Oryctolagus cuniculus: one gene and its partner. The main gene of each other region encodes a partner of the protein of the gene in region 2 in a complex. Links are inferred from orthologs where the notes say so. Each region holds a gene or a part of one and is shown on either strand. Other genes may lie near its edges.

Region 1 (8,466 bases), about 140 kb from region 2:
TGACCTCCAGGTCTTGGTTGGCGAGGTCAGTGGCGGAGATGTCATAGAGGGGGCTGCGCTTATCAATCACGTGGCAGATGATCAATGGGGCCACGAGGAAAATGTTGTTGCTCTCAATGGGGTTATCCACGGGGATGTCGAGCTGGTGGATGGGCACCACCTCCCCCTCGGGGGTGGTCGTCTTCCTGACCACCTGGATGCGCACCGAGGCGCTGATGATCATGCTCTTGCGCAGGTCACCCACCCGGAACATGAAGCACAGCTTGCCATTTCGGACGGCGATCACGGCGTGGCGGCTGAAGATCAGAGTCTCTGCCCTCCGGTGAGCCTGAGCTGTCTTCATGAAGATGCAGCCCAGCATGACTGCGTTGATGATCAAACCCACGATGTTCTGCAGAATTAGCACTGTGATGGCCAGAGGGCACTCCTCGGTCATCATTCTCCCTCCGAAGCCAATAGTCACTTGAACTTCAATGGAGAACAGGAAAGCCGAGGTGAAAGACCTGCATGGGAGGACACCAGACACAATGCCATCAGGTCACATCTTCAGTAATGGCTCACATCCTGAGACAAACTGGTTTTCTTCCTCTAAAGGCTACCTAATGTTTTAGGAAGACTACCTTACTTGACAGATTCCTAATTCTCAGCACAAACATGGCCTCTCTCCAGATGTCTGTCTCGACCTCCAGCCTTCTTGGGGGCAAGTCTATCCATGCTTTCCAGGTCTACAGAGATATGTCTAGTTCTGTAAAAGCTTAACCTAATAAACATACCTATATGTTTGTAGGCATATTTTACTTTGTCAAACACTCTATTTTCACAAGGCATAGTTTACTTGATAAAACTTGGTACCAGGTACTTAGTATTGCTGGCATTTCTGTGTTTAAGAGACGTGAATCTTATAGAAGGCATTCATAACCTTTAAATTCCTATTCAATAGCTAACACTTGTGTACCTTATACAGTATAAAATACAGTGAGGATGGGTGCAAAACACATCAGTTCTGAAAAATAGGATTTTAAATGTAAAAGTATGCCTTACTATTTCAAAATAATAGGTTTTTAGAGATATCTCATTTTGTTCTCTAAGTGATGTAGAGAATATTGAAGCTATTATAGGAAGAATTTGAATCAAAGCTCAGTAAATAACTGGGTAAAGATCTTGTAATGATGACGAGCTTGAGTCCTTTCCATTCCTGCCTACTGCTCTGAAAGGGGCAAAGTGAATGAGCCAGGAAGTGTCGGGATTTTCTTGGGATGTGTCTGCAAACTGTGTATCTCCATATCCTAGTGAATAGGTGTTGATTCACAAGGCTCAGGTTGGACTTTGTAAAGACCCTTGAAAAGCTCTTAAATCATTCTGAAGCTGCTGGTTGAGAGTCAACATGTTTGGTGGTTATGAATTTACTCATTTAACCGCATATCCAGTATTCCTGTGGCTTCTTCATAGAAACAATATGAGCCTTATTGTTGCAATTAACCCCCATTTCAAACTTCTCTCATTTTGTAAATATAAACCATGCATTAGCCAGGCACAATAAGTGAGCAAGGTGGGAAAACTTTGGAGTCCTTGGCATACAGAGTGCAATTCAACAGGAACCCAAGAGGGGTAGGCATGTATATACCGATGACTCTTTGCTAGCTGTTAAGTGGAGTGCAAAAGTTAACTTTTTCCTCTTGTGTGGCAAAAAGAATTCATTGAAAAAAATAGAATAATTGCTTTTTTTTGCACCAGCTAAACACAATAAGATAAATGATATGATCCAGAACCATGGTAAAGAACAGGAATGACCCACAGATGAGGGGCATGGATACGATACAGTCTCCAATAACACATTCATGCTTTACTGAAGAACAGCCCCAGATGTCTTGTTCTAATGCTTCGAGAGACCATTCACCTGCCATATTTTGCATATCATTTATTTTATGGAAAAAATTCAATTCTAAACCTTACATAACCTGCAAGATCCAGCATTTTATGCAAAGCAATCTCAAGAACGAAAATTAAGTAGCTGCTCCTTGGTTCTGTGACAGAGAAAGCTAGGTTGAATAATGAGAAGGAGGAAATGCGTTGCTCTATTTTCTGACTCATGTTAGAACGGCATCTATACAGAGGAGAAAGTGAGTCATTATAAAATAAGAATGGCCAAACTTGTTAGGAAACACGGATGAATATCCATTGAAAAACATTGCTTTCAATTTTGATACTGTGGTTGGACATTGAACTTATGAAAATAAAGGAAAGGCAAAGAGTAAGAATTACTATTAATCATCCTTTGAGATCCCTTTGGGAGTGAATAAAGATTTCTCTGTGTCTATACTTTCAGGAAAAAAAAATTGTTATGGCTGGTTTGTTCTGATTAAGCTATGTAGAGATTAAAGTTTAAATAGTACCATAACACTAAAATAATTAAGAAACCTTAGAAAGTCAAACAATTGAGTAAAAAGTGCAATTTAAAATGTTAAAATTATTCTGCTGAGAAAATCAACTTTTTCCCATTGTATTTTTGACATGACGTCTGTTGACACCAACTGAAATGCTACAGGAAACAGAATGTGCTTCAGAATGCATCTTGTTTGAAAAATAGGAAGTAGCAGTAAACAGCTTTTAATAACCAGTACACTCTGAAATTCGTCTAAAAAACATTGAAAGGCTATCACTTTTCATAATCTCTATATTTAAAATTGTCTAATTTCTTTTTCCTGGGAAAAAGGTGATATATTTGTCCTGTGAATAAAATCTGTCATTTATTTTCAAAGTTTTTATTATTGCATGCACCTTTTTTATCAATATCTGCTATGTATTTATTAAAATATTTTTTGCTATGAGAATGATTTACATTATCTGTATAGGTTTTCAAAAGAAAAACACAGTATTATAGACCACGACAACTGACCTCCAAATACTTCTGAAATAGTGCTTTGTTCTAAAACTAGTATGCTAATGATCACCTGTATTTTTCGCCTACATTTAACTTTGAGGCCAAAATTGTTGACAAATTTGAGAAAAGAAAATAATATCTACTGGTGGTAAAAGTAATGGGTCCATTCAATATCATTTTCTGTCCTCAAAATCTCAGCTGGAGTCTGTGGTTGGGCTCTGTGAATACGACTACTGCTTCCCTCCCTCCAGGGCAGGCACTGCAGCCACAGAGCAAAGGAAACAGTGCACAAGCTCACTCTGCTTTGCTTCTTGCAGTGCAAAGCAGCGCAAAGCAGGTCTCCTAGGACTTCAGGGTCATGAAAAGTCTCATTCTTTACAGTTTCCTGGCAGTGCAGTCCTGTTCAAGGTCCTTTGCTTTGTGCATGCTTTGAATTGGGAAATTTATTCAGAATATGCCCTGGAAATTTTTCCTGTATTATTTCTATCTTTTTGCTTCTAAGAGAACTTTTTTTTTTTTGCAATTGATATAAATTATCTCTGTCTTTCAACAAAACAAACAGTCCAACTAAATCCGCTTAGGCCATGCGAGAATTGAGAGGGCAATCACTAAAATAAAATGTACCTTAGCACTTCTTGAAATACTTAATGATCAAGGAAGAAGCCAAAGTTAGGTAATAGAAGACTGTCTTGTTCTCTTACAACTTTGAAAGAAGACCACAACATTAATTTATTTCCAGATAACCTCTTCCATGAAAATTTGGGACTAAGTTTCATTAAAAATTAATACGATCTTACTCTGAATCTTAACTTTGCCTTCACTGGGTTTTAAAATTCAATCAGCTCTGTTAAGATGATCTTGATAAAGAAGAGCTTATATTTATTTCAGTTATTAAATTTTTAGTAGATTTTTAAAATCCAGGACACCCCCCCACATTGCCTTCTCCATTTTCTAATTTTTGAACACACTTATGCATGAGAGAATTCATGGAAAAATAGTACCAACAGTCACACAGTGATTTTTTTTTTTTGATAACCAGATTATTACCACTGACACTGGAACAATGCACAGCTTCTTCAAACTGAAACTGAATGAGTGCCTTCTTGGAGTAAGGGGTGCTGTGGAATTCATTAACCTACAGTTGTTGAATACGAGGTGTAGCACTCGGGCCAGCGCCAAGAATGGAAGTGTCACACTTTCAGGGACTCTTCATCCACAAAGCTACACTTAGAAAGATTTGCAATGTGTTGGCTGTGGCTTTTCTCCCTGTCATGTTGCTTTTTTGTTTCTGAAGGATCTAAAAGAAACCCTTGATCTTTTTTTTTTCCAGCAAAATAACAGGATGCTAAGAGGAAGGGCATCCTAACATTTTGCTGCTGCCTCACTTTCAACCCCAGCCTCGCCCCCCGCGCGCTCCCACCTGACGTTGGTGACACACACTGTGGACTCCAAAGCACTCTTCTCCATGCCGCCCTTTTCCATGTAGGCGTAGATGTCGCCGTGGGCAAAGGCCACCAGCCACCACATGATGGCGAAGAGCAGCCAGCTGCAGAGGAAGGACATGGTGAAGATGACCAGCGTGTGGCGCCACTTGAGGTCCACCAGGGTGGTGAAGATATCCTGCAGGAAGCGCCCCTGCTCGCGAATGTTCTTGTGCGCCAGGTTGCAGGCCCCGCTCTTGGCGATGAAGCGCGCTTTGGGCAGGCGGTCGCGGATGCGCGGCTTGCGCAGGTTTTCCGCGGCGATGCGCGCCAGCACATATTCCTCCGGGATGATGCTCTTTCGGGCCAACATGGTCCCGTCAGCATAGCCAGCCTATCCACCTGCCTCTGCCCAGCCTCTGCTGCCCTGGGGACCCGTCCTCCTGCAGAGGGAAATGTGGATTAAACACTGGAAGAAAGAACCCCCCCGAACGTCAGTTGCTCACCTCTGTAGTCCTACTCCGGGACAAGCCAAAACAAACAAAAAAACCGCGACTGGCTGCGCTTGGTTAGGTTCTGGGCTCGCAGCAAAGTTAATCTGATTGGAATCGGGACCATTGTTTGGATGTCGTCATTCCGAACACACTTGGGGGGCACAGGCTCCGTTCAATAAAGCAGGAGGCAGCCTGGAGGCAGCAAGCGCTAAAATAATTCTTTGCGATTAACCGATTAACCGCATCTGCCCGTGAGTTCAGAGGCACCTGCGCGCGGCGCGGAGGAGGAAAACCGAGACCAGCTGGGTACTGGAGCATTGACAGATGGAGCAATAGTACAAGTAAAGAGGGAGAAAATTCTTCCCCTGTTTTTACAACAGCAGAGGCCGCGTGGCCTCGTGCGTCTTAGGAACTCGTTAAAAGCAACCTCACACAATCACATTCAGTGCGCTACGCAACTCGAACATAACGAAGAATAGTTTGCAAGGGGAAGGAAGGGCGAGCTGCGTTTCCAAAAACGCACGAAAAAGTTGCCTGTGGAGTCCCGCCACACTCCAAACTTCTTTGCAACGAACGGGGCAAACCCGATCTGCGCGCAAACCCGCAGCGCCGTGGGCTGCGGGCTGTGGCGGGGTCAAGGCAGCGCCGCGGTGCTTGGCCTGTTCAGCCTTTGGCGGGGACGCGGGCAGCCTCCCCCTCCCGTGCCCCGGAGGCGCGCCGAGACTTACAGACTGCGAGCCCCGCGCGCGGCCGCTGCCCCTCGCGGCTCCCGCGGGCGCACCGCGGGCGGCTCCACGGCGCTCCCATGCCGGCGCCGCGCGGGAAGCCGGGGCCCCAGCGCCGGAGGCACGGATCCGGGCGCCGCTGGTCCCAAGCTGCAGAGCGATAAAACTAAAGGTGCACGGGGAGTCCGCGCGCGGGGAGGGCTGGAGGAAGGGGTGGGTGGGTGGGTGGGTGTGGACCCCCCTTTCCCCTCCCCCGGCTCAGCGCTGCGCCCTGGGCCCCTGCTGGCTGCAGCCGAGGTTTTGGGGGCACGGAGCTTGGGAGGGATGCTCCTCAAAATCAGCCTTCCCCGCGAGGGCTCTGATGTGCGCCAGGGGTGGGGGCGGGAGGGCCCGGGCCGGGGGAGGGGCGGCCCGGGGAGGGCGGGGCCCGCCGTGCGCGCTGGGTTCCCAGTAGCCGCGACCCCCTGCGCTCGCGGGACACCGCAGGCTTTAAAAGGCTCTGCGCGAGGGGGAGAGCTGTGCAGTCCAAGATAGCTGACGTAAGGCGATCTGTATTTTTATTTTCACTTTATTTTGTAACCTGGGCAGATAGCTGGGCTATTTCAGGCTGAATTAAGCGAGAGTAAGAGAGAGATGCAAAGATATTCTTGCGAGGCGTTCAAGCTGTGTACAGCACACACAGTGAAACTGGTGTTAAATTTCCGTCGAAAAGGAACGGTGCCGGTGGTTGGTGTCCTGAAGCTTCAGCCACTTCTCAGGGAATTAACACACACAACTACCACGACCAAAAAAAAAAAAAAAAAAAAAAACCAGAAAAGGACTGGTGTTCTCGTCCAATGAAGAAATGTTACCCCAATCAGGACCGCTGTCAACACTGGAGCACTGACCCGGCCCTGCGGGCTGCAGCAATGGGCTGCCCCCTGACAGCCTGTGGCTTCGCGCTCTTGTCTGGAGTGTCTGATGGATAAGACAGGCCAGTGGCGCGCAGGAATGAGCATAGGGCGGTTAACTTCCCATAGCTTGTTGCAAACGAGCCAGCGGAGACAAATGAATGGGCTTTCTCCTACAGGTCGAACTGCGTCGTGCTTTTGGCACTTGAGTTAATGGATACTTGAATTCTTGAAAATATCATGCATTTTCCAAGATTCAAGGCCAAAAGTGTATGGAGCATAAACACTGTGTGTAATGACCAGAAATCCTAAAATTAGTATTTAATGAAGGCAGATGGATAGTTTTTCCCCCTTGTGGAGAGATGTGCTTAACCCCTTCATGCCTAGGGAACCTGGTCTGTTACTGGTTGCTTTTATGTACTCTCGTTAGTTTTTGCAGTAGTGTGTGAATATCTGTTTGTGAAGTTGATCCCTTGCACTTTTATTTTACAATTAAGTTTGCTGTACAATTTATTATCCATTATTTTAACTCAGACTCCTATTTTGTAAAGTTAATTTTTTAGGTTTGCATATCTAGAAATATATAAATATGTAAATGATTATTGCTGATGCTAAAGAAAGTTAATTATAAAAGACATTGATAATTTAATGCACGCAAGAATGATTAGAAATTGAAAGTAAATACAACAAAATGAGAGTTCAAATTAGAGACATTTAAGACTCAGACTAAAGAAATACTGTGGATTATTGGACATCTGATTAGATATATTTGGAGTATAGAGAAAATCAGAGGAAAAACATTCCACAGAGAGGAAATGGCATGAGCACAGTCCAGGAGTATGGTAAGAGTGGGCTGTATGTTAGAAAGATGATTAATTTAATCAGCATTGCTGAAGCCATGTGGGATTGGGCACTGGAATCCAGGACTCTGCTAAGCAGGCTCTGTCACCACCGTTCTTAAAACATAATGACTTATTCATATTCCTGTCCTACCTAAGCCTATCCCCATGCGAAGAACTGCTCGAGGGTATGGAGCACTGTACAGAGGTGCTCAAAAAATATTTTTCAATCAATGAATGGAAAACAAGTTTGGGAAAGCATGTTGGGATCCGGAAACAAAATGTAGATAGAATAAGATAGCTTAAAAGGTTTGCCAAGGGACCCGGACTGCTTTCAACAGTAATGGTGAGGTGTGGAAAGATTGAAAGAGGGGGCAAGCATTTGGTTCAGCAGTTAAGACCCTGCTTTGGGACATCCACGTTGCATAGCAGAGTGCCTGGGTTCGAGTCTTGGATTTGAGTCTTGGCTTGCAAAGCAGCTGCCTGCTAATGGGACATAGCAGAGAGCTGGGACATAGCTCAGCTGCCTGGGTCTGACCCACTGACGTGATACACCTGGATGGAAGTCCAGGCTTGGTAGGGCTCGGGGCTTGCAGTTGGCCCAGCTCTGGCTGTTGCAGACATTTGAGAGTTGACCAGTGGATGGAAGATCTTTCTCTGTCACTGTGCTTTTCAAATAAATAAATTAAAAAAATTTGATCAGACAATAAAAAATAAGAGCTTGTTTTAGGAGGATTTATCAAGAAGCAGAGGATATGATATAGTGGCTTTCAGGGATGCCTTTCCAGTCCCTTGAGCTCCAAAATTCTATGGCTGGCGGAAGAGTGCACTGAAACTATTACACAAAGAATGAAGCCTTGGCTAACAGGTTATGTCAGCAGGCAACATACAAATCTATGTAAAAAGAATATTATGTAGAGTCAATATTGGGAGGGAGAGGAGTCAGAGGCAACTGATATTTATGGTGGTGACAGAGAAATAGTAAGAAAGATGGAATGAGAAGAAGCAAACTGCTGCAAATTTATGAGCATAGTTGCAATAAATCTTGGCTGAATCATGACAATGCTGTTCTTTTGCTATAATACATATTGTGTACCCCATTTTTTTCCCAGTGCGAGATAGGAGGATACTTCAACAAGTTCATGGAAAAGGGAATTAAAATCCATGGGCATTTTCATGACTCACATTTACAGTGGACTTTTTGAAGGCCCCACAA
Region 2 (7,776 bases):
CAGTTCGTGAATTGTGGCTACACAGTTTAAGCACATACTCTATGCCATGAGAACATAACTGCTTTCTGGTGGCAAGGACACAGGCTTGCTAGCAAGTGAATTAGGTACACTAGGAATTCTCATCTAAACAAAGTCTCCCCTGAATTCACTCACAAAAGCAGTCATTCAGTGCATTGTGGGATTCTCAGTGCACTTATTTATACAACACAGGCAGCTATTTAATGGACTACCATAAGTACATTTTGATAAAACAAAACATATCTTCATTTTACTTTTGTGCCAAGCACTACACTACTTGGCTCCTCCTTCCACTTTAAAAATGAGACGAAAAGTTAAAAAACTAGCATATCTCTTTTATTATTTTATACACTGTTAATAAATGTAGTACCCAGGTACATAGGTGACAGATTCTGTCAAAAATATGTCTACAGGGCCAGTGCATGGCACAGTGGGTTGATCCTCCGCCTGCGGCGCCGGCATCCCATATAGGCACCGGTTCTAGTCCCGGCTGCTCTTCTTCCGATTCAGCTCTCTGCTGTGACCTGGGAAAGCAGTGGAGGATGACCCAAGTCCTTGGACCCCTGCGCCCACGTGGGAGACCCAGAGGAAGCTCCTGGCTCCTGGCTTCAGATCAGTGCAGCTCCAGCCATTGTGGCCATTTGGGGAGTGAACCTGCGGATCAAAGACCTTTCTCTTGTCTCTCCCTCTCACCGTCTGTAACTCTACTTCTCAAATAAATAAATAAAAATCTTTTAAAAAAAAATACGTCTACAGTTTAAGCTCCATCTACAGAATGCAAAGCTTCAGATGGCGAAAAATATTTAAGACGACAGCAAAAAAAAAAAAAAAAAAAAAAAAACCAGAATCCATTTCTTTTGCCATTTTTACCCAGTTGGAGGTAGGGGATTAACCACATGTCTTTACTAAAATGCTGTTTTACAAAAAAGAAATCTAAATAGTCCTCTGGTTTGTCAGTGTTCCTAACACCTAAAAAGCCTGATATTTTATAACATACTAGCTATTAATGCTATGGAGTAGATTAAATCCATCGCTCCATCTTAGCAAAGCTGTAAGAGAGTCTGTCAAAATGAAAGGGGCCAAATCTTGGCTCTGTGACTTGGAAGAATTTACACAGTAATACCAACTAGGAGCAATCACCACAGAATGCTAGACATTGTTGCAAATGCTTTACACATACTGGCATTAAATCTTGACAATTTCCACAACTCTACAAAGCAGATACTATCATTATTCCAATTTTATAATTACAGAAATAATGCTTTCAGAGATTAAGTACTGTGCAATGGAACAGTAGAGCAAAAATTCCTAACTGTACTTTCTTAATGTATTGATGAGTCTCAGCTTACCTGTCTGTAAAACAAATATAACATTAGCACATTCAAAGAGTATGCCAGTACTGAGCTAATTGTCTTGCTCTTCATTTTTTTTTTTTTTCCCCTCTGCAAATGAGAATCTTAGTTATCATGATCTACCTGAACAGGCATGGCCCACAGATTGGGGCACAGGAACAAGAACCACATGAGTTGATTGGTTTCAATGGCAACCAAATTGTTGATCTGTCCCAGGGTCATCTCACCCATGGATAAGTTAGATGTAGAGAGCCTGAGTATTTTATTGTATATCATGGCCTGCAAAAAAAAAAAAACAAGACACACTTTAAAACTTAACATCAGCACTATAATTATTTTCATCGAAGACGTTTTAAACTTTTTGAAAAATAACAAAGTCCTGTATACCCACCTTCAAAGTCTACTTTTTTAGTGTACTGTTAGTCCTCAATTAGATACCTTTTTCTAGAAATATCATCAAAATATATATTCAACTTTAAACATAAGCTCAATAACAAACAGAATCAGGGATGAGTAAATACAAGAATTAAATATTTTTTTCTTAACATGTTATGTTATTTTTAAGTTAATACTCTAATTAGCTCTGTATTTCTTCCATCCTGCAAATGTTGCTGTTGTAATATCAAAGCCCAAGTGGAATGAAAAAGCAAAAGTGAAAAAGTGAAGCTACTACTGTTCCTTTCCCTGGATCAGATATGGACTTTTTGAGACACAAAGACCAATCAAAGCTTGCACCTACCAACAGAGCTCCGCGGAGGTTGATGCCAGTCTCTATGGTTACGTAGTAGGAAGCCTGCAAAAACGTCCTTTGCAGAATAAGAGCCAAGAAGAGAAGAACTGCAAGAACATAAGCATTTTCGAGAAATTCCTTGGATGAGAGAATTTCTGAAATCTTGTCCCAAAAGAAAAAAAAAGAGACAAATTTAAGCAAGTCTTTTCGTATACCAAGTCTATAGTCTACATTAAATAAAGCTATATGGTATTCACATATAAATACTCAAAGTCATCATAATGTAAGTAGAATGAGCCACAACAGGCAATTTTGGCTTTCCCCTAGAATGTACACAAATACAAAAAAGTAGTGATGAATAAAATCCCCAATGACTTAAGATGGCTAGAATGTCTTTTGTAGAAAAGGGGTCAATGCATATTTTTAAAAATTTGCATACATTGTCCTGCAAAGAAAAGATAATTGAGAAGTTCAGGGGAAACTGAAATTTAGAAAAGAAATCCATCTGGCTGAAAAACACTGACATCTATGCAGAGATTTTTATAACACATTTTCCATGAACTTTTGGAAAATGCTTCATATTCTATCTAAGCTAAATGAGAAGCAGGAAAAATAAAAAGTAGAATTTAGTTTAGACTGTAATGTAGAACTAGGAACCACAAAACTGAGAGCTGTCAGTAAAATCAATGAAAATAAAATACAAGTTCCACAACCTTACTACTTCAGAATAATTCTACAAGTTGACTTTTCCCAGTTCTTCCGTATCATAATTTATATTAGTGAAGTAAGTTACAAAGTATAAAATATCAGATTACTGACTTTACCCATGTGACTCTTCCAGTAACCAAACACAACTTAGGAAAGTTCATTTTAGTAGGAATGTGACTAAATTAATCATAGATATGTAAAATCCCTTCATCTTTGTTTCTAATGATGGTTTTATATGGAAACATGTTTGTTAGAAGCAAGCAAAGGTAACAATCAACTAAGCACATTATGGCCATTCGGATACTCCTCATTTTCTACATCAAAAGTTCAGCCTCTACCTCTAGTCCCTCACACTTGTGTCATGGAGATACATATAAAGCCACAAGTTCTACCGTGTCTCAGAAAAACACATGGTCAATATGTGTAAGAGACAAGGATGGTGGCAGTACTCTGCAGAATTTAGATATGTATCTAATTAGGGTAGCAAGGCCAAAAATGGCAAGTGCATTCAGCAGTGAAAATATGTGGTTCACTTCAATAGTAATTAAACACGAATATGTGCAAGAATCCAGGCTGAGAATTGTAGGTACAAATGTGAATAGTTCAATCATTCTGTTCAAAGAACTCACAACCCAAAAAGATGAACTGATCCGTGAGTAACATGGTTTATTATGAAGACGGCAGATGTAGAAAGTATCCACCTAAAGTTAATCAAGTGTTAGGCAAATACTGAGGAGAAGCAAATTTCAAGTAGGATAATCAGAAAATGGCTTTGCTGCCGAGGCAGCATTTAACATAGGCTATGATAATGCACAAAATTTAAACAGATGGAAAGATGAGCATGACAATCAGATTGAAGGAATATAAAGTGAGAGTTAATCAATCTGAACGAGAGTTAGTATCTACGAAACTAGGGAAATAAATTATTTTAAACTAGAATGTTCATGATCCAGACCTTCTTAAGAATGGAAAATGAAAGGTTACATATTCATAACAAATTTGACTGAATTATATACTATACATTTATTGTTATAAATGTAATCTAAACATATAACTTGGGTGGCGCTATGGCTTAGCAGGTAAAGCCACCTCCTGCAATGCCAGCACCTGCTTCAAGTCCTGGCTGCTCTACTTCCAATGCAGCTCCTTGCTATGGCCTGGAAAATCTATAAAAGATGGCCCAAGTCCTTGAGTCCCTGCACCCACATGGGAGACCCCAAAGAAGCTCTAGGCGCCTGGCTTCAGATGAGCCCAGCTCTGGCCATTGTAGCCATTAGGGCAATGAACCAGCACATGGAAGACCTCTCTCTCTCTCTCTGCCTCCATTTCTCTGCAAGTCTGCCTTTCAAATAAACAAAAAAAAAATCCTTTTTTAAAAAGCATTAAACTCATAACTTTTTAGGTGAAAATATATACCATATATCTCCCAAATAACAATATAATGCATAATAAAATATATCACTATTTGCTTTATTCATTAGCAAAGAGATTAATGAATTTTATTATATGAAAAAAGAAATGTACAATATTATAAATCATATTTTAATATCATTGGTCATGGGCCTCTAAATATATGCCTCAACCATTCCTCATGCTGAAAATTCTTTAAAAGATTGCTATGAAGATCCAAAGAATGCAAGATTTCTGTCCATAATTTCTGGCATACAGAGGTTCACCAAATATTTATGGGCATTGAATCCCCAAAATAATTTTGTTGGTCAGCTACCTTCAGTGAATACATAGACACATGACTTTCTATACAAGAAAAATGATTATTTTTGTCCTAACATAAGCATTCAAACTGTCAGTAAGACTGCTTAAGCTACTCACAGGAACGTATTAATGGAAAGTGACCATTACACCAAAATCTGCCAGTAACATGCTTCCTTTGACAAGTATCACAAACTTACTCCGGTTGTGTTATTTGTTCCATTTTGGGTTTCATTTACACGCTGAACTATTCCAGAAATACAGAGCGGCCCGGCAAATCCCAGTAAGTCAGCCAGATACCGAAATGTGCTGCTAAGCAGAATCGGCCGTCCAAAAGCTCTGTACATGGCAAGCCATATAGATGGAGTCCGGTTTGGATGATCTGCTGCTTTTTTCTGAAAGTGAAACCAGATAAACCAAAGTAAAATCTTCTATGGCAGCAACTAATATCAGCAACTATGCAAATTCCTTACAAGAGTCCTGAAAATACTTTGAAAGCGTAGAGAGGCAAGTGTTTGGGTCTAGGGTGAGGATTCCCACAATTCATATCAGAGTGCCTGGGTGTGCATCCCTGCCCCACTTTTAACCTAGCTAGCTGATATATGCTGGCTGTGCACTAACAGCTCAAATACACTCATTTCTGCTACCTTCTATGGGAGACCCAGCAGGATTTCTTGTCTCCCAACTTCAGACTGGCACAGCCCAACTGTTGTGGACATTTGGGGAGTCAACTAGTGGATGAATAATCAATCAATAACTCTCCCTCTCTCCCTCCCTCTTCCCCTTTCAAGTAAATACATACATAAATAAAATGACAACTTAAAGTTTAGAGAAATTTTAATGAGTCCTTTTCAGTATAGAATACACAATTCTATATATTCTTTCATTGTAACTAAGAGTTGGTATTAAATGCATTTCAATGAAGTCAACAGAATAAAAACAGGTCAGAATTTCTGAGATTCTATTATTTTTAATTGTCAAAAGATGATGCCAAAGACTTAAAACTATGTACAGTTTTAATTTCTTTTGGCTTGGAAAATTTGTGTCTCTCATAGACATTAAATAATACCATCTGTTAATCTTTAATGAGGGAACAACAGTAGAAGTTAAAGTTATAGACACACCAGCCAAATTTTCTGAAGTATGTATATCACCAGAGGTTTATCTACCAGACTATTACAACCTAAACAAACTGAATCTTCCCAACCTCAAATTATTTTTCCTACCAGTTTTTCCATCTCTGTGAATGGTAGTCAACACTTTCCAAAAACTACGGTAACTTTGTGTTTGCTAGGTATTCCTAAAAGAAAGGCAAAATAAAGGATGCCTAAAATGCTTCAATTAACTCATGGCTTCACATCTTTACAGCTGTTAACTGTACAGATCTCAAAACCTGGATAATATCCATCATTAAAATTTGGGGACGAGGTGGATAAAATTTTTCTTTGCAACAAATAAACCAATTCAATGGGATGGACCTCAGTTGTGCTTCATAATGTATTTTCTGTTAGAGGACTGTTATTTTCTAAAGTTTACTGACAAAAGACATTACTGTACCAAATTCAACCTGATCTATGTTGTTGTTGTTGTTCTTTTTTTTTTTTTTTTTTTTTTGAGAGGCAGAGTGGACAGTGAGAGAGAGAGACAGACAGACAGAAAGGTCTTCCTTTTGCCGTTGGTTCACCCTCCAATGGCCGCCGCGGCCAGCGCGCTGCGGCCGGCACACCGCGCTGATCCGATGGCAGGAGCCAGGTGCTTCTCCTGGTCTCCCATGGGGTGCAGGGCCCAAGCACTTGGGCCATCCTCCACTGCACTCCCTGGCCACAGCAGAGAGCTGGCCTGGAAGAGGGACAACCGGCACAGAATCCGGCACCCCGACCGGGACTAGAACCCGGTGTGCCGGCGCCGCAGGCAGAGGATTAGCCTAGTGAGCTGCGGCGCCAGCCCTGATCTATGTTGTTAAAAGCACTAAGAAAATTAAAGCTATGCCTACACCATACTGCAAATTTTTACTTCAGCAGAGAAGTTTTTAAAATATGATGCAATGTTTTTCCCAGAGGTGAAACCAGAGAAATGACTCAGGTTCATTCATAGTACTCATTTCCGGCAATATTAATTTCATAACACTCACGTCTACCACAAAACAAAAGTCAGTGTCATCATTTACCATAAATGCTTTGTTGATCTTGACTTACAATAGCCAAAAACTTGTAACTTATTCACCATACCCTACTTTCTCTCCAGGGTAGTAGTGAATACTAAAATTTTTTAAGTCTTCTGGGATTTGAAGATAACTGCAATACAAAACACATCTAATACTGTGACATTCCAAAATAATAGTAAGACAAACTGAAAATTTCCACATTTTTATCTTTGAAGCTTTCAAAGTAATAATTAACATTCAAAGAAAGTACCAGAGGAAACCAATTTTAGAAAGTAAACAGGATGGGGCCGGCACCATAGCATAGTAGGTTAAGTCCCTGCCTGTGGTGCCAGCATCCCATTTGGGCGCCGCTTCAAGTTCCCATGGCTCCATTTCTGATCCAGTTCCCCACTAATGGCCTGGGAAAGCAGCGGAAGATGGCCCAAGTCCTTAGGCCTCTGCACCTACGTGGGAGATCCCAAGGAAGCTATTGGCTCCGGACTTTGGATTAGCCCAGCTCTGGCCACTGCAATCATTTGGGAGTGAACCAGTGGAAGGAAGATCTCTCTTTCTCTCTCTCTCTCTTTCTCTCTCAAATAAATCTTCAAAAAATTAAAGAAGGTAAATGGGATGACACATAGAGTAGGTAGATGCCACCCTTGCACTTAAAATTTAGACTCCCAATTTTAAACTATACTATCCAAATTTTTGTCAGTAATTAAGAATTTTAATTTTTAAAAGTCAGTATCATGGCCGGCATTGTGCCTCAGAGAATTAAGCAAGTTGCCTGAGCCGCCAGCATCCTATATGAGCACTGGTTCAAGTTCCAAATGCTCTACTTCTGATCAAGGCACTACTGGGAAAGTAGTGGAAGATCATTCTTGAGCCTCTGCCATCTATGTAGGTGACCCAAACGGAGTTCCAGGCTCCTGACTTTGGCCTGATCAAGCCCTGGTCACTGTAGCCATTTGGAGAGTGAACCAAGGGGTAAAAAGCTCTCACTCTCACTCTCTCTCTGCCTCTCTCTGTCCTTCAGATAAGGAAATAATTCTTTTGTTTAAAACTTTGACTTAAAAGTTTTATTTTATTTTATTTTAAAGATTTTACTTAAAATC

The links.
Region 1: the proteins of ABCC9 (region 2) and KCNJ8 are in contact, whole or in part, in a cryo-EM structure (PDB 7MIT), measured with the Rattus norvegicus proteins. The link is inferred for Oryctolagus cuniculus from reciprocal best matches to the Homo sapiens genes ABCC9 and KCNJ8. Residues at the interface, in XP_038963045.1 of Rattus norvegicus: Phe5, Ile10, Tyr13, Asn14, Ile15, Val19, Asn22, Cys24, Phe25, Ala28, Leu29, Val32, Val35, Phe36, Phe39, Phe42, Pro43, Ile44, Phe46, Ile47, Gly48, Trp49, Gly50, Ser51, Lys55, Gln57, Ile58, Asn129, Phe130, Lys132; in NP_058795.3 of Rattus norvegicus: Met1, Leu2, Lys5, Ile7, Ile8, Pro9, Glu11, Tyr12, Val13, Leu14, Ala15, Arg16, Ile17, Ala19, Glu20, Asn21, Leu22, Leu45, Ala46, His47, Lys48, Asn49, Gly54, Arg55, Phe56, Leu57, Asp59, Ile60, Thr62, Thr63.

The regions. Positions count from the first base shown.
Region 1 is NC_091440.1:119,053,147-119,061,612, forward strand, and holds the start of KCNJ8 (ATP-sensitive inward rectifier potassium channel 8), read right to left. Parts: upstream 4,676-8,466; coding exon 4,302-4,675; intron 504-4,301; coding exon 1-503. UniProt on the Homo sapiens protein: Inward rectifier potassium channels are characterized by a greater tendency to allow potassium to flow into the cell rather than out of it.
Region 2 is NC_091440.1:119,192,986-119,200,761, forward strand, and holds part of ABCC9 (ATP-binding cassette sub-family C member 9), read right to left. Parts: intron 4,914-7,776; coding exon 4,719-4,913; intron 2,263-4,718; coding exon 2,110-2,262; intron 1,650-2,109; coding exon 1,494-1,649; intron 764-1,493; exon of another isoform or gene 432-763; intron 1-431. UniProt on the Homo sapiens protein: Subunit of ATP-sensitive potassium channels (KATP). Can form cardiac and smooth muscle-type KATP channels with KCNJ11. KCNJ11 forms the channel pore while ABCC9 is required for activation and regulation.